Linked DNA regions of Canis lupus familiaris. The protein of the gene in region 3 binds, or shares a complex with, the protein of the main gene of each other region. Links are inferred from orthologs where the notes say so. Each region holds a gene or a part of one and is shown on either strand. Other genes may lie near its edges. The genes, in order: PPME1, CRYBG1 and PPP2R5C.

Evidence for each region.
Region 1: the proteins of PPP2R5C (region 3) and PPME1 are in contact, whole or in part, in a cryo-EM structure (PDB 7SOY), measured with the Homo sapiens proteins. The link is inferred for Canis lupus familiaris from reciprocal best matches to the Homo sapiens genes PPP2R5C and PPME1. Residues at the interface, in NP_002710.2 of Homo sapiens: Asp180, His187, Arg188, Tyr190, Gly191, Leu194, Arg197, Ser230, Ile231, Gly234, Phe235, Ala236, Lys240, His243, Asp313, Gln341, Tyr348, Glu353, Tyr354, Glu399; in NP_057231.1 of Homo sapiens: Arg37, Lys38, Arg39, Asn192, Lys217, Val251, Glu252, Gly253, Ile254, Ile255, Glu256, Glu257, Pro345, Gln346.
Region 2: the proteins of PPP2R5C (region 3) and CRYBG1 are in contact, whole or in part, in a crystal structure (PDB 6VRO), measured with the Homo sapiens proteins. The link is inferred for Canis lupus familiaris from reciprocal best matches to the Homo sapiens genes PPP2R5C and CRYBG1. Residues at the interface, in NP_002710.2 of Homo sapiens: Lys183, Thr184, His187, Tyr190, Gly191, Leu194, Arg197, Ala198, Arg201, Glu226, Ile227, Ser230, Ile231, Asn233, Gly234, Phe235, Ala236, Lys240, Glu242, His243, Pro265, Gln266, Tyr269; in NP_001358171.1 of Homo sapiens: Pro1136, Phe1138, Ala1139, Met1140, Pro1141, Pro1142, Ile1143, His1144, Glu1145, Asp1146, His1147, Glu1149.

The regions. Positions count from the first base shown.
Region 1 is NC_049242.1:24,236,820-24,245,260, forward strand, and holds the start of PPME1 (protein phosphatase methylesterase 1), read right to left. Parts: upstream 5,085-8,441; 5' UTR 4,885-5,084; coding exon 4,784-4,884; intron 1-4,783. Other genes in the region: C2CD3 (C2 domain-containing protein 3), read left to right, coding at 5,201-5,270. UniProt on the Homo sapiens protein: Demethylates proteins that have been reversibly carboxymethylated. Demethylates PPP2CB (in vitro) and PPP2CA. Binding to PPP2CA displaces the manganese ion and inactivates the enzyme.
Region 2 is NC_049233.1:64,197,469-64,205,243, reverse strand, and holds part of CRYBG1 (beta/gamma crystallin domain-containing protein 1), read right to left. Parts: intron 7,421-7,775; coding exon 6,731-7,420; intron 6,650-6,730; coding exon 6,045-6,649; intron 1,155-6,044; coding exon 1-1,154. UniProt on the Homo sapiens protein: May function as suppressor of malignant melanoma. It may exert its effects through interactions with the cytoskeleton.
Region 3 is NC_049229.1:70,338,469-70,346,243, reverse strand, and holds part of PPP2R5C (serine/threonine-protein phosphatase 2A 56 kDa regulatory subunit gamma isoform), read right to left. Parts: intron 2,829-7,775; coding exon 2,718-2,828; intron 1,702-2,717; coding exon 1,609-1,701; intron 1,523-1,608; coding exon 1,392-1,522; intron 1-1,391.

The DNA.
Region 1 (8,441 bases), on a different chromosome or scaffold from region 3:
GATTTATAGAGCTTGAGCAAGTCACTTTACTTTGTCCTTTATTTCTCCATTTGTGTGAATAGCTACTTAAAGCCTTCTTAAAAGGCCTGATATCCAATATAAAATTAAGAAGTTAAATGAAGGACTATTTAATCAGATATGAGTAATATAGAACTTACAGGGAAAAAAGCTGACATTACAAAAAATTCAAAGGAGAGCTTCTACTTCATAAAGAATAAGCCTTTCTCACAGTTCTCTATATAAAATAATTTGCTAGTTATCATTCCTTAAAAGCTTATGTGTCAGGAAGTATAAGTGCTTTGCATGTATTATCTCATTCTCATAGAACTCTAAAGTAAGCAGAAATTAAAAGGAAAAAAAAAAAGAAAAAGACTGAGGAGTTAAATGACTTAACCAAAGTAAATGCACAAGCTGGGCTTCAAACTCCGATCTATACTACTACTTTTTTTTTTTTTTTTTTTTAGATCTGTATCACTTCAAACAATTTCTACAGCAAAGTATAACAAGAGCAACAATGGACTAAAAATCTGAAATCTGGGCTTGAATCCTGTTTCTGCCATTTGATGATTCTGGTTTTTAGGCAAGTCAGAGAACATTGGAGTTTTCTCATTAAGAGAAAATATCCCTGCCCTAAGGAATCTCATAAAATAATACAAAAAAGCACCAATATATCTTTCAGTTAAAGCACTGGAGAAATGTTAAGATATAACTACAGAAATGGAGTACCATTGATAAACCAAAAACACATTGAAAATGAATGGTTCTAATAATCTATATAGTCTCTTTAATGGTAATGGCATGTACTAAAGCAGTGATTTTCAAAACACACTCCTCTCAAGCACACCTCGGTGCTGTGGACTGAACCTTTGTGCCCCTCCTCCAGCCCCAAATTCATGTTCAATCCTAACATCCAATTTGATGGTATTTGGAAGTGGGACGATGGGAGATGATGAGGTCATGAGAGTGCAGCCTTCAAGGATGTTATTAGTGCCCTTAGAAAAGAGATGCACAGAGCTTCCTTCCCCCTGCTGTGTGAGGACCCAGCAAGAAGATTGCCATCTCTGGACCAGCATGCAGTCCCTACTGAACACAGAATCTGTCAGCGGCTTGATCTTGGACTTCCCAGCCTCCAGAAATGTGAGAAATACATTTCTGCTGTTTATAAGCCATCTAACCTATGGTATTTTTGTTATGGCAACTCTAACAGGGTAAGATACCAGTTACAAGTAGGGATCACAAACCAGAACAGCTCCAAAATCTTTAATAAAAAAGTTCAGAACCACGGTTTTTGGCATCATCTACTGGCATCCATCATGGAACAATAAAACCAGGAATTCAGGCCTTACCTAAGAAAAAGTGTTGGTGTTTCGAGACTAAACATCAATTGAATTCTAGTTCTCCCACATACCAGTTGGGTGACTTTTAATCTCAAGTCTGAACTTCCTTACTTATAAATGCAAAGAAATATCTACCTCGCAAGGTTGTAAACAGATTAAAGTAACATACAAACAAATATAATAAAGTAACACACATGAAGCTACTACTACAATGGCTGGCACAAAGTACCTATCTAGAAAAAAAAAAGTAATTGTTATTATTACATTATCAAACAATACTCTGGAATTTCTATATCTAATTTGAAAAACTAAATTATGGACACTCACAAAAAATCATAAACCCAAAACCACCCTGAACATGGAAACACATCTAAATAAGGTTTAGTGAAATTAAAGGTAAGAGATTATGAATTGAAAGAGTTGAAAGAATAAGTCATAAAAAGATTGTCAAAGGCACAGGTCCAACTTGAGAGTAAGAAATAGATGGGGGAATGGAAAAAGATAAGGAAAATGCAAATGAATGAATAGAAGAAATAAAATAGGATGCAGGATGCTTTAAAATTGGTAGAAGTAAGACTTCATAAATCAAGACTGAGGAAAAAGACTGAATCCTAGAGTATTTGTAAAGAACTAAGACATACAACTCAAAACAGGATAACAACTATGAATCCGAAAAACAAAATGGATCTTAGAGACTCCAAGTCTTAGTCTTTAGTGGCTCTAACCACTTAGCTCCTACTGCCTTAGTATGAAGAAGATTTGAGTTTGTCTTCTCTGTCTCTCTTTTTTAAAGATTTATTTTAGAGAGAGAGCACAAGTGGGAGGGGCAGAGGGAGAAAGAATCTCAAGCAGATTCTACACTGAGCTTGGAGCCCAACTTGGGACTCCATCTTATGACCCTGAGATCACAACCTGAGCTGAAACCAAGGCTGGTCACTTAACCAACCACCCAGGTACCCTGAGTTTTACTTTTTTATTAATAAAAAATATTGTCCCTTGCCTCTTAAGTTTACCTTACAGAATACAGAATTAAATTCTTCGAATTTATTTTCTCAACTATACAGTGACACAGTAAAATGAGATCATTTATACATGTTCCTTCTAGGACAGGGAGAGAGTCAATATTACCACTAACTTTAGACTCAGCTGAGGCCTGCCTATATTCCAATAAGGAAACAGGAAAGAAAAATAAAGGAAAACAAGCCACTTGGGAAGCACATAAAATTCACCAACAAAGCCCTTCTCTTCGCAGTATCATAAAGGATTTTTCTAAAGAACTTTGTTTTCTAGGATAAATAGTTAACAAAAGCATCTATTTAAAGAGAGTACATTACCAACAATTAACACAATTTTCTAATTAGCAGCTTTTTGCTGTATTTTCTCTTAGTGTTTTTCTTTTCAGTTCATCTTCAGAGAACTAGTTTTAACAAAGTGAGAAGCTGAACTCTAATTTACTTGTAGCAAGTATAGTTATCAAAAAGCTAATATTTTTATGTATTTTTACAGAAGAGTACCGGTATACTAAAGGATGAATTTTAGTCTAAGAAAGGCAACAACTAAGACACATACCAACGATAAATGTTACATTTATTTTTATACTCCAGGTTAACTTTCCCAAATAATCTGTCATGGATCAGTTTCCAGATCCTCCTTATTCATGTTACAGTCTTCACTTTCTGTCTTCTAAAGCCAAAACAATCTCCGTTTTACCTTATATGAGGCCTTCTACCACCGTCTTTCCATTGTGCATCCACTATCTATCTTCTGTCAAGGTTTTCTCATGTTTCTACTGTGTATCATAGTCAGGTTTCCAATTCTTAATTTCCTCCCCCTGGTTTTTTCAACCACCACCCATTAATTCTCACACCTCTCTACCCCACTGTTTTAATTTATGGGATATTCCTTTCCCTTTATTCCAGAGACCTTCTTTCATAGTACTGCATCTCCTGTCCTCATCTCCTTTTTGATCAGTTTTTCTACGTACTACTTCTTTAGAAACGAAAGTTTCTCTTCTCTAGTCTTTATTCCAAGGATATCTATCAATCGAACTCTAAAATCCCAAGCACACTCTCTTGACTACCTCACACCTACTCTTTCTACCCCTTCTCTCTTAACAGTCACTAGTCTCCAGAATATTATTTTATACTACAAATACCTCACAAAACCAACTGCCGGGACACCTGGGTGGCTCAGAAGTTGAGCATCTGCCTTCGGCCCACGGCATGATCCTGGAGTTCCTGGATCCAGTCCCACATCAGGCTCCCTGCATGGAGCCTGCTTCTCTCTGCCTATGTCTTTGCCTCTCTCTCTGTGTCTTTCATGAGTAAATAAATAAAATCTTTAAAAAACAAAACAACTGCCTACTCAATTTCCTCTGCTTTCCAGTAATTACCTCTCTTATGTTCAATTGATACCCTCTCTTACACCTGAGTAACTCCTAATCTGGCTCAAGCCATTCAATGACATAAAATTTCCCAAACCTATCTCTTCAACACAGCTCCTCCCTTCCCAGTAAATGGTTTTCCCCCAAACGTTTTAACTGGCTACTCTGAATGCTTCATTAAGTCTGAATCTTCTCAAACCAGTATGTACCTTCTCCATCAGACTTACTTGCCTGGCAAAAATCAACTGCCCAAATTTCCTCTTTAAGCTTCTCATACCTTATCTCTGCAGCACTTTCATTCCCTAAACCCTGTTCCCAATCTTTTCTCCATCTCTAGAGCTCATGGTCACTCTCTAAGCTCCTCTTCACTCCTCCCCTTACTCCCTACCCTTATTTCTCAGCACGTTCCTTTCCATAACAGTCTATTTAGTTATATTCTCCATCTTTCCTTGGCCCTGTTTCCAAGCTTTCACAGTTCTCCCTTAAGAGATCTAATCTCCTAATCACCCCCTCACTCCCTGAATCGGCCTCTTACGGCCCTAGGCACTCTCTCTAGAACCTTCTGCTCCCTATTTTACTTTCCTTCTCCAACTCTGCCTCAGGTGTTATCATCCTTCAGCTTTTCTAATATCTAGTTGCTTCAGTCATCTTACTATCCCAAATCTTTTCCTAGTTGTTCCCCTAATTCCCTCAACTTTTCTCATTCTCCATGTCTCTCAACCCTCCCTGACAGATATTCCCTTACTCTATTACGTTTCCTCAAACCTCTTCCATCACTTCTTCTGGAGGTGCCTCCTACATCTCTTAAATTATCCTCTCAGCTTCCTCAATCTTTGCCTCATTCCCTCCTCCCTTCAATACTATTTGTCCTCCAATTTCCATTGACTTGGCGCCTCCCCTAGTTCCCAAATCTGCCTTCAACACCATCGAAACGTCTCCAGGCCGCTGCTAACATTCGCTCCCATCCTTGGCTTCCCTTGCCGTGCCGCTCTAAACGCCTAGAGACACCATTCTCCAATGGCCGGGGCCTGGCCTCTAGGGAAAAAGGGTATGGGTCACGTACCCCATTCGCATCTTGGCTCCGCTCTGACTGCCCCCGCTGCCGGGTAGAGGTGGGCGAGACGGCAGGCGGCCGAGGTGCATGCTCTTCTCGAGGGCCGACATGAAGGGAAGGCCTCAGGTAGTCAAACAGTAGCCTAAGCTTCGTCCCACGCTAAGTGCGGCCCAGCAGGTCACAGCTCACTCCCCTTAGCGACGCCCAGTGCCTTTGGACAGCACCCAGCTACCGGCAGCACCGCCCACCGCCCACCGGCTCCGTAAACTCCACCCCCTCTCCTCAGCTCTTCCACCGGAAGTGCGCAACAGCCCTCCACAAAGGAAGCTGGGTAACGGAGTCTATGGATCTATTAGACCCTAAGCGGAGAGCTCATCGACCCTCGCCGGAAAGACAGGCTCTCCTACAGGCAATGCACTCTGGGCAATGAAGTCCTCAAAGGGCGTATCCCTTTGCGCTTGCGCAGCTGCACACGACAGCGGCCAACCTCGCAGAGGTAGTGTAGCAAAGCATCCTGGGTGTTGTAGTCTCTTGCAGTAAGACGTCTTGGCGCCTTTCCTTTTTACCGCTTCTCGCAGGCTGTTGGAGGGAGAGCCGCTTCTTCCTGCTTCCCAAGCTGCCCGGCGGCTCCGGTTGCCGGGGAACGCAGGCGCCTTGGGAAGGGATGGCGGGAGGCGACGGCTTAGGTGCTGGAGCCAGAGTTCAGGTGGTGAAGAAGAGCCCTGGCTCGTCATGAAACAACGAAAAGGCCAGGGGTCTGCGGGCGTCCGTGGCCGCAAGAAAAGAGGTAACTGGAGCGACCAAAGGTTGAGGAAAGAGTAACGAGGCGGAGTTAGGGGAGCCAGGTATAAAGAATTCTAGGGAGACTTCCACATGCGCCTGCGAAAAAGGAGGGAGAAGGGAAGAAAGAGGGAAATAACCAAAGAATGAAAAGGTCGAAAGAGAAGGCATTTCGCCCTCACACGAATGGAAAGGAAATAGAGGCCGAAGTAGGGGGACAAAACGGGCGAATAAATGGGCCGAGGTGAGGGACTAAAAGGGTACAGGCAGAACGTTTCTAAAGAAAGGGAATAAAAATTCTAGGAATTTTTTAGCCTTTTGAAAGTGAGTTATAATTGATATCACATTATCTTAGCTTCAGGTTGTACATGATTGGATATTCGTATATGTTGGGAAATGATCACCTGCAGTGAGTCTAGTCAGCGTCCATCACCGTTACTAAGAAATTTTTTTGTCATGAAAACTCTCAAAATGTACTTTTTTAGCAACTTTAAGATATGCAGTACACTATTACCTATAGTCACTGTGCTATTACATCCCCATGAGTTAGGAGTGCTTTTGATAACAAAGGTAAATATGTGTCTGTGTTTGGGAAAGTATACCTTTGGAGTTCCACACGGACTGGGAAAAAAAAAAAACAACACATGTTGGAGAGGTGGTATGTCAATTCTAATAGGAGAAGATCATGTTTTATACTTTACTGAATCCCCAAGAACTAGCACAAAGCAGGACTCAGTAAATGTTGGTTGAATGGGTCCAACATGAGGCAATCTTGAAGCATGAAGGGGTACAGGCAGGAGTTGGGAAAGATAGTTGTGGAAGAAAGAGGGAGGAGTGACAAAGTGTGGTAGTGTTGGAGTGGTGGTGAAAGAGTATGTAGCAAGAGGACCTTATCAGGATAGTATGCTTAAGGAGAAATATGCACACCAGAAAAGCAGGGAAGTGTTAGTTGTGGAGGAAACAGGCGCCCTAGTAACCCAGGACTGATCAGGAAATTAGAAATTGAATCTCAGTGGAGCTGCCTACAAACAAACATACATTGTGTGACTTTGCTTTTTACATTATAGGTAAAGTGGTGTTAGGTATGGTGATAGTACATTAGGCCATTGGATTAAGGACTGAATCTACAGTCTGAGAATGAATCTTATCCAAACTGTTTAAAGATAATAAGGCAGTTTGAGGCAGTACCTTTCCTGCCAGGAATGATGGGAGGATATGAAATAGAAGCATGGATATATTCAATACTGGTGTTCCCTATGCCAAACCAGCCAAGTATATTTGGTTGATAGGAGGTAGATAAAAATAGAAATAACATAAGAATGTCTTTCTTGCTATACCATGTGTGTGTGTGTGTGTATACACACACACACATAGTAATGCTCATATACACACCCATGTATTATTTTTATATTCAAACTAGTTATCTATAAAGATTATGGTGGGTCATCTTCGACTAGAGAGCAGAGAATTGTTCGCTTTAGAAATCCAAAGACTTACTTATATAGATCTCCTGATCTGATATACTCCAGTATATTTTCTTCTTGTTAGGCATGACCATTCTCCAAGGAAAAAGAGGAATAGAAATGTGTGTATAATATAGGAATGATTTCTTTTTTTTTAATTTCACTCTAGTTAACATACAGTGTTATTTAGTTTCAGATGTGCAGAATGGTGATTCAATAATTGTATACATTACTCAGTGCTCATCATAAGTGTACTCTTTAATCTCCATCACTTATTTCACCCATGCCTCCCCCCACCTCTCCTCTTGTAACCATCAGTTTGTTCTCTGTAGTTAGGAGTCTGTTGGTTTGTCTCTTTTTCCTTCTCCTTTGTTTATTTGTTTTGTTTCTTAAATTCTTCATGAGTGAAATCGTGGTATTTGTCTTTCTCTAACTTCACTTAGCATTATATTCTAGCTAATATAATCCATGTTGTTGCAAATGGCAAGATTTCATTCTTTTATGCGTGAATAATTCATAGATATATATATGAAAATAACTATGAATCATGCAAAGATCATAGATCTTCATAGATCACAAGGTTCATAGTTATCTTCATATGTATATGAGTATTATTCAGATATATGAATTCATCTAACTATGAATGGAAGACAGGGTCATTAAGGGAAAGTTTTATACAAAGTCATGATTAAATGCCTAGTTTACATTTATTATCTGTCTGAAATCCAATAAATGCTATAAAAGCTGGAGATCCCTGGATGGCTCAGCAGTTTAGCGCCTGCCTTTGGCCCAGGGCATGATCCTGGAGACCTGGGATTAAGTCCTGTATCGGGCTCCCTGCATGGAGCCTGCTTCTCTCTCTGCCTGGGTCTCTGCCTCTCTCTTTCTCTCTGTCTCTCATGAATAAATAAAATCTTAAAAAAAAAACAAACTCTATAAAAGCCAATAATATTATGAGCCCAGTACTGTAGTAAAATGTGGCAGAATCTGAAGATGATAGTGTCTGTCTTCATTGACTGAATGATGTTGGCAGGAAAGAAAATACACAATTTAAGGTGGTTTTTATTGAAATGCTGTCATATGGTATAGACTTAATCATTTGAGCATTGAGTGAAGGGAGTTGTTGCTGTTTCATGTTTAGTGATGGTTTTAAAGTAAGGGGTAAAGATAATATATTAAAACCTAGACATTGGGCAGCCCCAGTGGCACAACTGTTTAGCGCCGCCTGCAGCCCAGGGTGTGATCCTGGAGACCCGGGATCAAGTCCCACGTCAGGCTCCTTGCATGGAGCCTGCTTCTCACTCTGCCTGTGTCTCTGCCTGTGCCTCTCTCTGTGTGTCTCTCTTGAATAAATAAATAAAATCTTTAAATAAACAAATAAAACCTAGACATTGCAATAATTTTTTTAAAAAATACTTGGAAGA
Region 2 (7,775 bases), on a different chromosome or scaffold from region 3:
TGCGATGGCCGGGTTTGGGCGCCGTGCCCTCGCGGCCCGGGCCTTCCTCTTTCGGGGGAGCACAGCTTGCGACAGAAACCACTTCGAGTGGATCGTTCTGACAACTTGGCAGCTGGGCTCCTCTGACTTCGGGGCCCTCGGAGATGACCTGGGCGCCTGCATCGTGGGTGCTCTCCACGGGGAGCATGAAAGACCGGACGTGGACAAGGACCGTGGATGGGCACTCGGGCCCCACGGCCTCCGGGCCGTGCTCTGCCGATGGAGGAGGCCTCGCTGCTGCCCCTCCTCCTCCTTCAAGCTTGGAGGGCTGCACCGCCCCATCGTTCTTATGCGGCGGGGGCAGAACACAGCCGTTATGGTTTTCTGACGCTTTTAGATCAGTTCGTGGGAGACTGCTTATGGGAGCTCGAACACACGCGCCTTTGGGTGCAGGCTGGGAGGGAGAAGGCCCGTTAGATGACTCAGCTGGGGGCTGTGAGTCAGATAACGTATCCTGTGGCTTTGGTGCGGCCGCTGGGGGGGGCTCTTTGGTATCAAGAGTGGCGGGAATGTCCTGTGCTGGATCAGTCATGTTTTCAAGCGCAAGTCTTTTGCTCCCCGCGGCCTTTGAGTCATCCTCTCCCGAGGCCTCGTGGTCCTCGACAGGATTCAGAGCTGCGGCCACTGCTTCGGGAGGGCAGCCGGCGTCTGTGTGCACTTCTGCTCTAGCACTTGGGTGAAGTGGAGGGCCAGGAGCTTGGCCCTGGGGAGGCTGGCCCCCCGATCCCCCCGCACTGGGGCTGCCGGCTGCTGGGGGGATCTCCTCCTCAGTAACTTTGGATTCTGTCGAGGTTTCCTTTGCCAGCATACCATTCTGGTGACTGTTTGGCAGTACTTTCTTTTCAGATTGCTCCATCTCTTTGGCTTTCTTGGCTAAATTCAGCTTCGCCCTCCCAACAAACGTTTTATTACAGGAGGCAGGAGGGTTCCTTGTACTTCGAACATCAGCGTGTCTTGGGCTACTGCTGTTGGCCCTTTTGTTTTCAAATAAGGAGATTTTGTTGGCAGTGTTTCCTTTATGAACCGGCTGGCTAAATGGATTATGCTCGTTTCCCGAACTGTCAGGATTCTTAGGAGTTTTAAGATTTAGTTCCACATGTTTGGGCTTGGCCGGGCTGCAAAAATAAAGCAGTAAGATAAAGTTATTGACCTAGTTTTGAAAAGCCAACATACCAATTTACTACGAAACATTTATTATTATGAAAAGCCAACATCTCTCTGGTAAGTAACATTTGTTTTTTTATGAGACTATTTTAAAACAATCCTAAGTACACTCAACTATTTTTAATGGAGGTTTTGCTTCTGTAGGATGGATGAGAAAATTATATAGCTAAGAAAGTCAAGAGGTGGGAGGTTAGCAAGTTTATCGAGTACCTAATATGTGAGCACGGTGCTTGACACTAAATTCAGAAGACAGCTTAGGGCTTGAAGAACATGAGGTTGAATTTATATATTTGATGTACTCCTTTATTTTGAATATGTAAATGATCTCCCCAAATAGCAGCTGTGTATTTTTATTTTATCATAATTTTTAAGCATTATTTCAAAAGGCTAGATTATAAAAATATTTATCTGTTATTTACCTCTTTGAATATTTATTCCCTTCATCTTCCTTCATATAACTTTACTCTGATTATACAAGTGTGTCCACTACAGATCATATGGAAAATATAAAAATGAAGAATCACTCATACTCCTACCACTCAAATAATCTCCCTGTTAACATTTTAGTGTACTCTTTTTGTATGCATGGTAAAATACTTTTAACAAAATTGGAATTGTTCCATTCCATAGTGTTTCAGATTTTATATTTAAAAAAAGATAAATTAATCTTATCTTTCACATTTTTAACATTTTCATGTTACTAAAAATTTGAAGTTTTTCATAATGTCTGCATAAAAGTTTAATCATATGGATGTACCATAATTTACTTATCAGTTACTCAACTGTTGGTGTTGTTGCCTTCTGGTGGGGGCAAAAGGCATCTCCCCTCGCTCTATAAAGAAGCTATAATATTTCTTGGTTATTACCGCCTACTGGAAATCATAAATCTTTGTTTTCTTTCTGTTTGACATTAGCCAGCTCTGGTCCTGGCTCCTACACTAATGTGTGAGCTTGGTCAAGTTAACTCACTGGACTCACTACCTTTCCTATCTAGAAAAAACAAACAAATCGATAGTTTAGAACAGAGATGATCCTCTCCCCACCACACCTTTCCCAAGTGATGGCCGAAGGAATTCTTGGGAGTTCTCTCCAACAGTGACCGAGGGTCCAAGAGCGACCGAGGGCTGGGGCCAGCCACCCTCCTCTCGACCAAAGTCACTTCTACTTGTCTATTGTATATATCACTTTTAAGCTTTCCTAGAAGAATGGGCTCTGAAGCTAAACACAACACAATGTCTAAACCATACATCTAGTGGTTTCTAAAATGAGGAGATAATAACCACTAAGAATCACTGATTGACACACACTTGAGAAACAGTGTACTTGCCTAATGTACTAGTTTAAACATTCTCTTTTACAACGAGGAAGTTGAAGCCTAGGAAAGGCAGGTAATTTGCCAGAAGTCATACACCTAGTGAGGGACAGGGCCATGATTTGAAACCAGGGGTTGTGGTTTTGGAGGCTATGCTCCTGACCACTCTACTCTTCTGCTTCCCCAGACCTCAGTGACTAAATCTGGTCCTTTCCAGCTTGATATATTCAAGAGGTCAATGAGTTATCGTGAGAGCTGTAAGATTAAGCGATCAAACGTTGGAGGCTACTTTGATCATGAAAAGTGGAGAAGCACAGAAATCTCACTGCTGCCTCCACATGGATTCATTGGCTTTCAAGAAAGAGGGGCTTTTTTGAAGGAACAGGCAATATGACTTTGGGTGAGACACCTTATCCTTCTGGATAAAATGAGAACACTGAAAAGACTTGAGAAGTCTTTCCAAAATACAGCATTAGGAACTTAGATTTTTATTTTTAGGAATTTGATTTAAATACTAAATTTCATATACTCTCATGAATTTCTCTTAGGCACTGCTCTCTCCAATAGCTCCACAAAATAGCTAGGCTCCCTCATGGTGGGCCCATATCTTAAATTTAAAAGGAAAATTAACATACACACACTACCTTGAAGACTGAATTCTAAAACCAGTGGAGTCGAAATGGAGAGCTTACAAATGCCATCAGTTAATGAAAGATGTTCACATGCCAGTAAATACACATTTTAAAAAATTCTCAGGGGATCCCTGGGCGGCTCAGGGGTTTAGCGTCTGCCTTCGACCCAGGGTGTGATCCCAGGGTCCCGGGATCGAGTCCCGCATCAGGCTCCCTGCATGGAACCTGCTTCTCCCTCTGCCTGTGTCTCTGCCTCCCTTTCTCTCTGTGTCTCTCATGAATAAATCAAATCTTAAAAAAAAAAAAAAAAAAAAAATCTCACTAATCAGCTCAAGGAACAGTCAAACATCAAAGTATATCTTATGATGTCAATGGAAAACACTACAGGTTAGCCAACAAGCTACCTTAAGGACAGGAAACACATCTGCACATTAAAGATTTACGCCGAGATCAAAATATGTTTTACAACCAAACTTTCTGTGCTATTAAGTTCTGCTACCAAGAGTCACTACAATTAACCTAGCTCATACCGATTAAAAGGAAGGCTTCTCTAATTCATGCTTTGTGTAATGCCTTTATTATAATGGAGAAGGGAAAATCATCTGATGTCTTAAAAGCTGTGGCTAGGAGAGGAAAATTCTCCTTATTCTCAACATACCATTGCTAATCTCAACATTCAACACCTGGAACAGAACTGAAGACATAATTTTTCTAACAGCATCGAGAAACTTGCTGCTGCACAGTCCTTCTTCAGGGAATACAAAATAATTTACACTAAAACTTCAGATGCAAATTGCTTTTTAAAAATAATCGGTAACGTTCCTTCTTAAAATACCATCAGAGGAAAAAAACCGGAAAGGAAATCCATCAAACAGAAAAAGACTAGAAGGAATTAGTTTTCCCATTTCCACAGACTGCCAATTCACCAAGCGTGAGGCCTGGTGGAAAGCACAATCAAGCCAAATGCCTTGCCGAGGAGAAATTTTAGGTAGAAAGTGATGGGCACAGAGAAGAAGACGTGGTTTAGTTCACAGAAAACAGGACGTGCAGAGTTTCGTTGCAGGATCGCTCCCCAGGTCTGTTTACCCTACTCCTTGCAACATTTCTGGTTTTTCCACTGGCGTTCTCCGATTGGAAGGCAGGTAAGGCAGGTAAGGGCGTCCTTAAACAGCTCCGCAGTAACATTTCTCTAAGCTCACACTTAGTAGGTCTGAGTGTGCAGTCACACTGGCCTTCTACAAATAATGGGCATCACCCACTCCGATTACTCCTCTGACACAGCCGTTACAGAATAAATAGCTGACTTTATCAAAGGTCTCCAGATTGGCAGCTGGTGAGGTAGCTCACATTACTCATTAAGCAGGTTCTCCCTCACGTGTTTATCAAACAGACCTCCTACTCTAGAGCCTTACTTCTCCAAGAATTCAGATAGAATGAAACCGTTTGGTTTAAAGATCAAAATGCTGTGAAAATCCTGGCTCTTTCAATAAGGAATAAATGTAGGAACAACTTGGGCAGTTTATATTTCTATTTTTATTTTATTTTTTCGACTTGGGCAGTTTAGATGCTCATGTTTCACAGACGCTCCCTGGGAGGTGGGGCAGTGAGCCTGTGGGAAGGGGAGAGGGTCTGGGGCTTTACAGGGGCCCCTCCTTACCCCAGCCACCTTCCCAAACCACATTGAGCACCCCAGCCCAAGCTCACCTCCAAAAAGCCAACTGACTTCTCCTACTTTGCGCTTCCCCAGCCTTTACAGCTCACAACCCAGCGAGCAGTTCCCTGGGCCATCACCTCCTGTAGCATCTGTCTGCATCTGGCAAGCCAGAATGGGCCAGAAACTCCTCAAGGACAAAACACTGAGTCACACTGCGAGTTTCCCCTCAGAGCTCCTGGCCCAATACCATCCATGCACAGAAGTCACTCAATAAATATTTGGAAAAAAAAAAATCAATGAATTTAACAGTAGGTAGTCAGCCTGTTGAGCTTGATTCTTCCAACGCATGGTATCCTTTCATTTAACAACACCCCTCCCCCCCCAGGACACTGCTTTTTCTTCATTTCAATAACTAAGAATTACTTTTCAACCTGGGAGCAAAAATATCACTAACTTCCCTAACATTCTAAGGAGAGAAATGGGGGTGGGGGGGGGGGGATGTTTAAGCCACACTGAGTTCCAGAAAAAGTTCTGTGAGTTCTCTTAGACTCACAGGTGTCAAAGCTCCAGGGTCACACTGAACGTAAGCCGGTTTGCTCCCGGTTTCCAAATTTGCAGCACAGAATGCCCTACCCAGGAATGCGGGGGTGCATTTTGAATAAAAGAACTAGCCCAGGAGGCACCTGGGTGGCCCAGGGGGTGGGCATGGGCCTTTGGCTCAGGTTGTGATCACCGGATCCCAGGATTGAGTCTGGCCTCGGGCTCGCTCCCTGCGGGGAGCCTGCTTCTCCCTCTGCCCCTGTCTCTCTGCCTCTCTCTCTGGGTCTCTCATGAATAAATAAAATCTTAAAAAAAAAAAAAAAAAAAGAATTAGCTCACATCAGGCTAAGGGGTCTTCTTTCAATCGAGTAAACATTGAGTCTCGGGAGATTTTTACATCCACCAAACTGAATATTCTATCAGAACAGGAATGAGCAACCCGACTGGGCTTCCCAAAGTGTCCTCTTCTTAAACCTGTGCTAACCAGCGCTTCACTGTCTTAGTTACGATGTGGAGGGGGAAAATTCGTGCACAGACCCATCTGCCCCGAATGCAGAGACCCCCGCGCCCCCCAGACCCCCGTCCCCTGCACATCGGCCAGAGCTCCACCAGCAGACCCCTGCACAGCTGTGGACAGCCCCAGCCCCCCCGCACCGCCCCCCCCGCACCTGAGGACGGCCCCCGCCCCCCCGCCCCCACTTACAGGGTCACCTTCGTGGTCACCGTGGACCTGCCGGCGCCGAGATGGTTCCTGGGCCTCCCTCCGTCGGCGTCGGGAGCAGCGGCCGGCCGGCCCGGCTCTCTGCCTCGGCCGTCGGGGTGGCCCGGGGCCAGGCCCCTCTTGTGCTCGGGCCTGATCTCGGGCAGCAGCGTCGCGCTCTTGACCGTGAGCTCGCGGGGCCCGCCCCGGGCCGCCCCGTCCGCGCGGTCCTCGGGGGGCTCCCCGGCGGGCGCGGCCTCGGGGCCTCGGCTCCGGCCCCTCCTCTTGGCGGGGGACGCGGCGGGCGGCGGCGGGGGGGGCGCCGGGCCGCGCTCCGCCTCCCCGCGGGGCTGCCCCCTGGCCCCGGGGCCGGCCTTGGCCTCCGCGCCCGCCGCCGCGGCAACGCCCGGGTCGGGGCCCGCCGGGGAGTCCCCGCTCCCCGCCGCGTCGGGCGCCCGCTCGCAGCCGCTCCCCGGGCCGTCCCCGCCCGCGCTGTCGGGCGGCGCCGCGTCGGGCCCCGGGGACTCGGCGGACCTCTGCGACCTCCGCCGCCTGCCGGCCCGGCGGCCGCACGACCTCCTCTCCATGTCGTCGGGGTCGCCGCAGTCCTCCGGCCCGGGGGCCGCGCCCTCGCCCTCGCCCTCGCCCGCGCCCGCGCCCTCGCCCTCGCCCGCGCCCGGGGAGACGACCAGGGTCAGCGCCGCGGGCCGCGCGCGCTCTCCGGGGCCGCGCCGGGGCCCCGCTCCGCCGTCCGCCGCCGCCCCCGCCGCCGCCCCGGGGCCCCCGCCCGCCTCCGCACACCCGGGGGGCGCCCCCGCCGCAGCCCCGGCGCCCGGGGCGGCCTCCTGCTCGCCGCCAGCGCCGCGGGGGGCGCCCTCCCCGGGACCGCCCGCCCGCGCCTCCGCGCGCCCCTGCCCGGAGGGACTCTCGAGCGGGGAGGGCAGCTGCTTGGCGGCCCCTGGGACGGACCCTCCCTCTGCCTCCCGAGGCTCTAATTGGGGCGCATCACGCCCCGGGCCCCGCGGCCCCGCCGCCCCGCGTCCGCTGGCGCACGGGGCCCGCCCGGCGTCGGGGGGCGCAGCGCGCACGCGGCTGTCCGAGGGCCCCCCGGGCTCCCGCGCCGGGGGCCTCTCCTGCGGGGGAGCCTCCTCGCCCGGGTCCCTTTGCTTCGGCTGGCTGCCCTGAGGTTGGCTCTTGTCACTCTCTCTTTCCGGGGGTTTGGAAGAGGTCCCATCCTTGGGAGACGCGGCTTTGGCGTGGGAGCCGGAGGGGCTCTCCACCCCGCTTCTGCCGGACCTCCTCCGGCCGGCCGCGAACAGGGTGCCGAGCTTCCCCAACACCGGCTTGCGTCTGTTTTCCTCTGGTGGTTGCGCCCTGGACTGGAAAACAAAAGGGGTTGGGGGTGGGGGGGAGAGAAACGATGAGAATCTGCGTTTCCCACCGCCCCCCCCCCCTTTAGGAGTAAGCACGTGGCAGAAGGACAAGCCAAAATGGTAGCGACCAGCCCACCTGCAAAAGTAGAGACCTGTGGTTTTTGCATGTGCTACATGCACTCCAACAAAATAAACTCGGATTGTCACATTTTTTCTTAAGCCCCGTCTATGCTTGGCGCTACTTGGGATAACATTTCCTGCTACTAGAATCCTTGTGTTTTATTATTTTAAAGATTTTTATTTATTTATTCATGAGAGACACACACACAGAGAGAGAGAGAGAGAGAGAGAGAGAGGCAGA
Region 3 (7,775 bases):
CATATCAAGTGTGAAGATGAGAGAGAGGAGCAGATGCCCCGATGACTGCGGAGGGCAGGGTAGGGGACGCCGAGGATGAGAGGGACGGCTTCCAGAATCCCCAGAGGCTGCTGGTCTCCGTGGTGGGATCTTATTTCCCACACCCAAGTGTCTCCATCTGTCTCACCTCCCCTGTCTCCCTTGCTGGGTCATGATGCCTAAGAAGGGAACCACCTGGGCTCTGTGGTGCTCCTGGTGATCCTGCACGTCACTTTCCCTCCGGCTCTATGGCTAGCCTGGGCGAAACCCACCTGCTTTCTTACCTCACAAGGGGACCTGTTACTGCTAGGATTTTCACTACCTTAGCCATCCTGGAATCAGGGCCTTCAAGGGCAAGATGACCCAGGCAAGCCCAAATTCTTGGAATAAACTGCTCATAGCAAACTTTCCAGGGACAGATAAGAAACATTAAGTCTTTCATTCATCAACATTCTTTTGGTGCCACCACAGGTCAGGTGCAAAGCGGTCACTGGAAGTGTGATAAGGCCGCTAGCACAATGCCTGCCCCAGAGGGAGACCTGCCTGCCAAGCCAGGGAGGCTTTCTGGGGAGGGGGTGTGTCTAGAAGCCTGCGAGGATGTGGAGAAGGGCAGCTGGAAAGAATGTTCTGGGAGGCACTAGTGGGTAAGGAGCCTGGAGATGAGCAGAGACTCAAGTGAGAAGGCCTGCCCAGACCCACACACCCACACACGGCAGCGCCCAGGGGTGGGGCTCATCCATCCAAGCATGGCCAGTCACCCCGGGTGACTCAGACAGCAGCAGAACCGTGCAGATGTCAGCGGGTGGGTGGAAGGGTGTTCAGATCTTAAGAATCAATGAGAGGCGGTGGCCAGGACCGGGGGGCGGGGGCGCGGGCTTAAGGTGAATATTGCACTTGGAATGCCACAGAACATCCTCTCACGAGCCATGGGGCTGTGCCCTCTTCCACAGAAACCCAGACAGGGCAACTTCTGCACCCAGCTCCCCAGACGGACCAGTCTCTGCGGTCCTGCAGGCCTGGGACGCCAGGGTTTCCAGACCTCTAGTGTGGTTCTCCAGCCTGTGAGCATTTCTAAGGGTCCCCACTTTGCTCCCCACTCCTGCCTTCTCTCTGAGATGCTATTGGGGAGGATGAAGTAACCCGCAGGTGAAAGGAGTGACAGCTGGCTTTGGACAGGTTCTGGATGGCCCCACACCCAGGGTAACGGGACAGCTGGGTGAAAATGGAAACAGAGGAAGGACGTGTGCAGAGGTGCTGGGTTGGTGAGGGAGGGGAGCGAGCAAAGAGGGACTGAATGATGGGGTAGGGGGCACTGAGTAAGATCGCGATCATCATCATGCAAAGAGAGAAATGTCACCCACACGCTGACTTACCTATAAAATATATTATTTATCTGTTTTCTGATGTAAGCTCTTAAGCCTAAGAATTTTCCATAGATTCTGTGAAGGGTAGTTTTAAGAAAATCTCTCTCCCGAGGATCTTCACTGTCAAAGAGCTCTAAAAGCTTCAAGAAGAAAAAGACACTTAGTGGATCAGTATTCCTGCTCTGCAGATTAGGACTTTTGTAGCTTCAGCTAATTTGTACCTTACCTGCAATACAAACTTCTGATCAATATATTTCTTCGCTATATTAGGTTGGAAATCTGGAGACTCTAAAAATCTTAAGAAAAATTCATAAACAAGCTAGGAGGAAAAAAAAAACAATGAGTCAAATAATATGGTATTTTATTAGATGGAGACTAAAGGTACACCACGAGTTGAATCTCTGAAAATATTAGCCTTAAAAAAAAAAAGCTGCTTATCTACAGAATTAATACCAAATACCATGGCTTAATTTAATTATAATTGATGACGGTAATTGTTTTATTTAGCTCAGAACCACGGACTATGCCCTTAACTGGCATTTAAACGAAATGGTACCCATGGCTGGGGTCACTGGCACCTAACTGACGTGGCTGGGAGACGACAGTGAGGGGCGGGATCTGCAGCCCACCATGAGCACGTGTCCTGTCAGGGCCTGGGGGACAGGAAGCTGGGACTGCTCGGTGAGCGGGTCGCAGACAGTCACCCGGGGCTGGGATGCTCCTCCTCTTCATGAGTGGGCTATATGCTGTCACGGTTACACGGCAATCCCACATGCCTTGGGGGATGTTCTGTCCCCAAGACAGCCCCCCCTTTGTAATTGGATCCCCATCTAGCTCGTTCCCAGCTTTCACCTCTCTGTCTCCCCTCCTGTGGACGACCCAGGCCCCAAGGTGGTGCGTGGCTTGTGCACACTCTGCTCATGCTGAGCTCAGTGTCTTCTCAGGCATCCAGCCTGATCTATGAGCAATTTCTACTTTACGAATGTGTCAGAAAAAGGTGAGTCAGCAGGTGAGCCTTTGGGTGTGTTAAATCTAAGTGCTGAAAACTAGGGAAGCATCTATCTGCAAAAGGCCTCGATCTGATGGCTATCAACAAAGGGTCACTTTCATTACAAACATATTGACAATTCCAAATAGACAAAAAAACCCATTCATTGTTCTCACTTCTGCTAAAATACCTTTCTTATCTGCACAGGTTTGCAAGGTCAGCGGTCCACTTGCAATCAGCTGGAGTGAGGCCCTAGGGCCAGTTCACTCGCTTTAGAGAAAAAAACCCTGAGAATGCACACACTTAACTCACGCCCCTGTTGCTGGGGCACTCCCAGAGTTCAGTACCTGTAGATGAGGCCAGGCTGCTTCTAACGTGGGCTCGTCTTCCTCGGGGTCAAATTCTGCTCCCGTAGGATTGGAGGAAGGTGGTAACGTTCGAAACATGTTAACTGCAAACTAAAATCCACATATTCTTGAATTATAACCAGGACATTCAAGATATTTACAGAAAACATTGAAAAAAAAAAAAAAAAGACCATTTACAGAAATCATTTAAATTCTAACGACAGCTGCTCCCAGTGGTTATCTGGCTCGTCCTTATTCTGAAGATTCAGAAGCAGTGTGGATCCCCAACGAGAGTGGGTCAAAGCTGCAACAGGAAACCTGGCTTGTGGGACAGATGGCTACCGACACTCCTGCTCGACTCTGAGCTGCCAGATTCATGGACAACCAGCACCAACCAGTGCTGGGGGGGCAGCGGTGAGTTCACTGTGCCCAGTAAGCGCAGAGCAAGGAGGCGGGTGTAGTGCTGGGAAGAAAAGGATGGGCTTGAGCAGGAAGCAGCAGAGATTAAAGAACTGGTCTCCTGCCCCAGAAGTGCCTGCATTCAGCACCGAGAGAACCATCAGAGGGCAGCCGGCCGTGTGCCCAGGGCGGGACGCTCATGGCCTTAGTCTCTCTGGACTCACAAGGAAATGACTTTGGAAGAGATTTCTTGAGAATGTGAATGACCTCCTCGTACAACTTGCTACCTGCCTTTCTTTTATATTGTCCTTCACCACCTTCTCCCACTCCACGCTCTGTTTATTTCCAACTTAATAAAAGTCAGTGTTTTATAGGTGTTTCTACATAAAACCTAGAATTCTCTGGAGCACAGGTATACTTTAATGTCCACATGGTTAATTTTTTTTTCTTACGTGGTTAAATTCTAAATAAAGCATAACATATACTGATAAATTTGTGATATAAATGTTTAGTTTTTGTTTATCATCCATTTATAACTTATTCTTCTTTTGTAGTAAGTTTAAATGTGATAGCTACCTTACGGAAGCTCTGTACCTGCTGTATGTGGGTTACAGCCCTGGGCTCTGCTGACTGGCTCTCACAGATAATCAAAGCAAGGCCTCCGCCCCCTCACCCCCCAAAGCACAAAATCCAAACACCTGCCAGGCAAGGTAAGACCCAGCTCCATGACAACGAGTGGGAGGTAGCTGGGGACAGTCCAGGGCAAACCTGCTGCTCAGGTGACCAGTCTCGTAGAGACTGAGCTAAATCTCAAGGTCATCCGTTGTTTCTTCTGGTCTTGGCTGTTACTGACGGTGAACTCCGAGCCCCCTAACATCATGTTCCGGGAAGGAAAATGCTCCCATTTTACAGCATCAGCTATGAAAGCCCCGAGCCTCAAACATCTGTGGTCTGTGCTGTCCAAGAGGAGGAGTAGATGCAAGGAATCAGAACAGGAATGGAGGGTACCAGGGATCCCTGCATGGCTCAGTGGTTTAGCGCCTGCCTTCAGCCCAGGGTGTGATCCTGGAGACCCAGGATCGAGTCCCACGTCAGGCTCCCTGCATGGAGCCTGCTTCTCCCTCTGCCTGTGTCTCTGCCTCTCTCTGTGCGTCTCTCATGAATAAATAAAATCTTAAAAAAAAAAAAAAAAAAAAGGAATGGAAGGTACCGGAAAAAAAAAAAGGTAGGAAATCCAGAAACAAGTAAAAAAAAAAAAATCCTTTTGTAAAACCAAGAATAATACTCCAAAAACATACATAGAAAGAAACAAGGTCTGGAAGCTATGAACAGGGTCCTGGAAGAGGCCTCCCAAGTGACAGGTGACTAAGCGATGGAGGTGACAGGTGCTACGAGGTACGGGAGGCACGTCCTGTCACTGGCCCCCGGGGGACGGGGCAGCAGGGGCTCTCCTGACACTCTGATCCCAAAGCCCACGGAAGAGAACAAGGAGACAGCAGGAGCTCCCTCGCCAAGGAAAGGCCACAGGCGGGTGAGGGGCAGCAGGCCGCCCCGTCACCCCGGGCGCTCAGCCCTCCCTCCGGGGCTAGGGAAGTGCGGAGTGGAGTCAGATGGAGCCTGGGGCCCGCGTGGGCGTGTGGCCTTCCTGCGCTGGGTTTTCTACCCTTTCCCTCAAAGCCAAATGGCTGGGGGCGTCAAGACAGTCACCCAGAGACGGGGGGTGCCTTGAAGACAGCCAGGGGGACGCATGCTACGCCTGCCTCTCCCAGAGACTGAGGCCCACCCGGGAAGGAAGCATGCATGCAGGTGGCGGCTGCCCCCCGGCAGGTCCCTCACTGGCCAGGCAGCCCTCGGGGATTGACGCGTTACACCAGGTGGGGCAGCCGTCCCCACGGAGACTACGCAGGGGCAGGGAAGCAAGGTCTTAGGGGTCATGGCTTGCCCAGGAGCGCCCCGTTATCGAGCACTCATCTGAGCATCACTCGGGAAGGTATTTGTAGCCGTGGTCAGCATCTGCCATCGGCTGGCTTTAGGCACAGGAGAGTACCCGGAGGACGTGGGTGGCCTCATCCACTCAGCTGGAAAGTCAGAAGAGCAGAACTGTGGTTTCTCCCCCAAGGAGGAAGAAAATCCCCCTGTGGGGGCAGCCTCAGCTCCTGCCCCAGGGAGTTCCTGGAAATCATCTCTCAGGCTGTCTCTGTTTCTCTTACTGGTCATTTCTCTGACTGAACTCTGACACATCTGCTTAGTTAAGATTCTTAGTAAACTGGTTAGAGTCGACCAGTAGTGAAGCTACTGTCCCAGCTTCAAGCTGGAGCCCAGACCGCAGTGTGGGGTCACCTACGGCCCGTCCCCAGTGCCTGCATGGGCACCAAATCCCAGCAGCTCCCGAGTTGGGAGTCTGCAGGGGAGCTGGACCGCCTTGCTTTTAAGGCAATAAACCTCTTTTCAGCATCCTTGAAGGACCCCTCAGACCCAGGAAGTCTTCTCTTAGCCACCTCGGATTGATACGAAGTCATCCCTTTCACATGACAAAATAATCTCACGCTGGAGCTTCTACTCACCTTTCCTACCACAGTACATTGCATTGATTCAATGCTCGTCTCTGGAAATAACTGTATAAAACTAACATTTGGAAAAGAGAGCAGAAGGCAAATGGCATGCCATCTCAAATTATTTTTGGGTTGCAGTAATTCTGAGCGCAAGAGCTTCAGAGTCAGGCCAGCTGAGCACTGTCAGGAGGGGCTGCCAAGCTGTGCGGCCACAAGCACCACGGAAGGTGGTCATTGTCATCCTCGGGCCACAGAAACCGAGGGAACTTTGTTTGTACCATAGGTCGGATGGATCAAATGGACCCATTATACCCTCTCAGCTCACACATGCTGAGCTCTGCGCACCCTGCGGTGTGGACACGGCCAGGATCAGGCTACGTGGCCAGGGCGGCAGGGCTGGGTGGGGACAGGCTCCCGGCACTCTTCCTCCCCAGAAGCAGGAACTGTGCAACAAAAAAACCTGCCCACGCCTTGGAGAAAGAGGGTGAATCTTCTCCCTGCTTTGGGCCTGTGTGGTTACCATGCACACGGGTGTGCACGTACGTGATGCACACGGCCGTGCGGGGCGTGGACGGACTCTGTAATATTAGGAAGCACCTGCTTTCACAGCTTGCTCCACACTCCTACTTTCAGTACTTAAAATCAGCCGCGCAGATGCTCCTCTCCGGAGTGCTAAATTTACTGAATTAGATGCAAACCACACCGGCTTGAGAAGCAAGCAACCTTGTGGGAAATTCCTGCAATTCAGCAGTATCATGAAGCCTTTCTGTGTCTGTGACATTCACGTCCAGAGCGGGGAAGTAATAAGACATTCACGCCATGAGGGAACTGCACTATGGCAGAACATAGAAAGGTTTAGGATATGAAGGGACACCACACAAAAGAACACTGATAGTCTAATTTCAGAGACAATGAGTCAGGGAAGGTTGGTCATTCAGTTCTTCCTCTAAATCACAAAGGTTATTCCACTACTTGATATATTCTGTGTTATTCACACGAACAGGATTTATAAAGGTGAGTCCACCAAGGGCCAAATCTCAGTTCCTCCAGAGGCTCTTCCTCCCACAGACAGAAACACTAAGTTCTCAGAGTCACAAGAGATAACACTTTGGGGCTGGCAGGGGTGGGGGAAGTGGGGAGGGAGTCCATCAACATTATTACTTTTTTTTTTTTAACAGAAAACCATATTTGTTTGTAAATGTTACAGCGTATCTGGAAAAACCAACAGAGACAATAGTAGACCATTGCAGTTGGGCTATGGTACAGAATCCAAAAATATATATACAAAACAAACAGCAATGTAATTAGGGAACACGATTAATGGGAGGAGCCCAGGGACACAGTCCCAGAAGTGACTGAGGGCCCACTGCTCAGTTACAAGGCCCCAGTGGGGGAACACAAAAACCCTAATAAAGGGCACGCTAGCTTACATGAGTGAACAGAGGAAACTTTGTGCCCCAGTGGGGGGAGACATCCTATTATAAAGATAACTTCTCCACAAAGCAATCTGCACACTGAATACACTCTTAAACGTAATTCTAACTGGATTTTTGATGAACTTGAAGAACGTAATATAAAATTTAGGCAAATAATAAAAATCCCTGTGGCAATCATAAGAGAAACCCTGGGCCTTTATTCATTTGTGAGGTTAGTTCAGATCTGCTTTCCTGATAGAGCCCAGGTGTCACCCTGGGGAAGGCACACGGACAGCAGGACAGCCTTCACACTGAAAGTCGGTGGTCTGCACACTCTTATAATCAAGAAGCAGAAACTCTCAGAATGAATAGAAAAGTGACACTCAACTCCATGCTATCTGCAACAAGCCCCCTGTAAATATAAGGATACAAACTGGTCAAAAGTAAAAGCAAGGGAAAAAAAAAAAAAAAACCCTATCAGGATTGCATTAGTCAAGAGAGAGCTGGAGTGTCTATATGAACATCTGACAAAGTAGTTTTTGGAGCAAGTAACATGAACAGGGATGAAGAGGGTCACTCCATAATGACAGAGGAACCAACTAATAAATACTAATATCTATGCACTGAATAAGATGATGTAAAACTGGACAGAACTGCAAGAAAAAAGAGACAATTAGAAAATAAACAGCCCT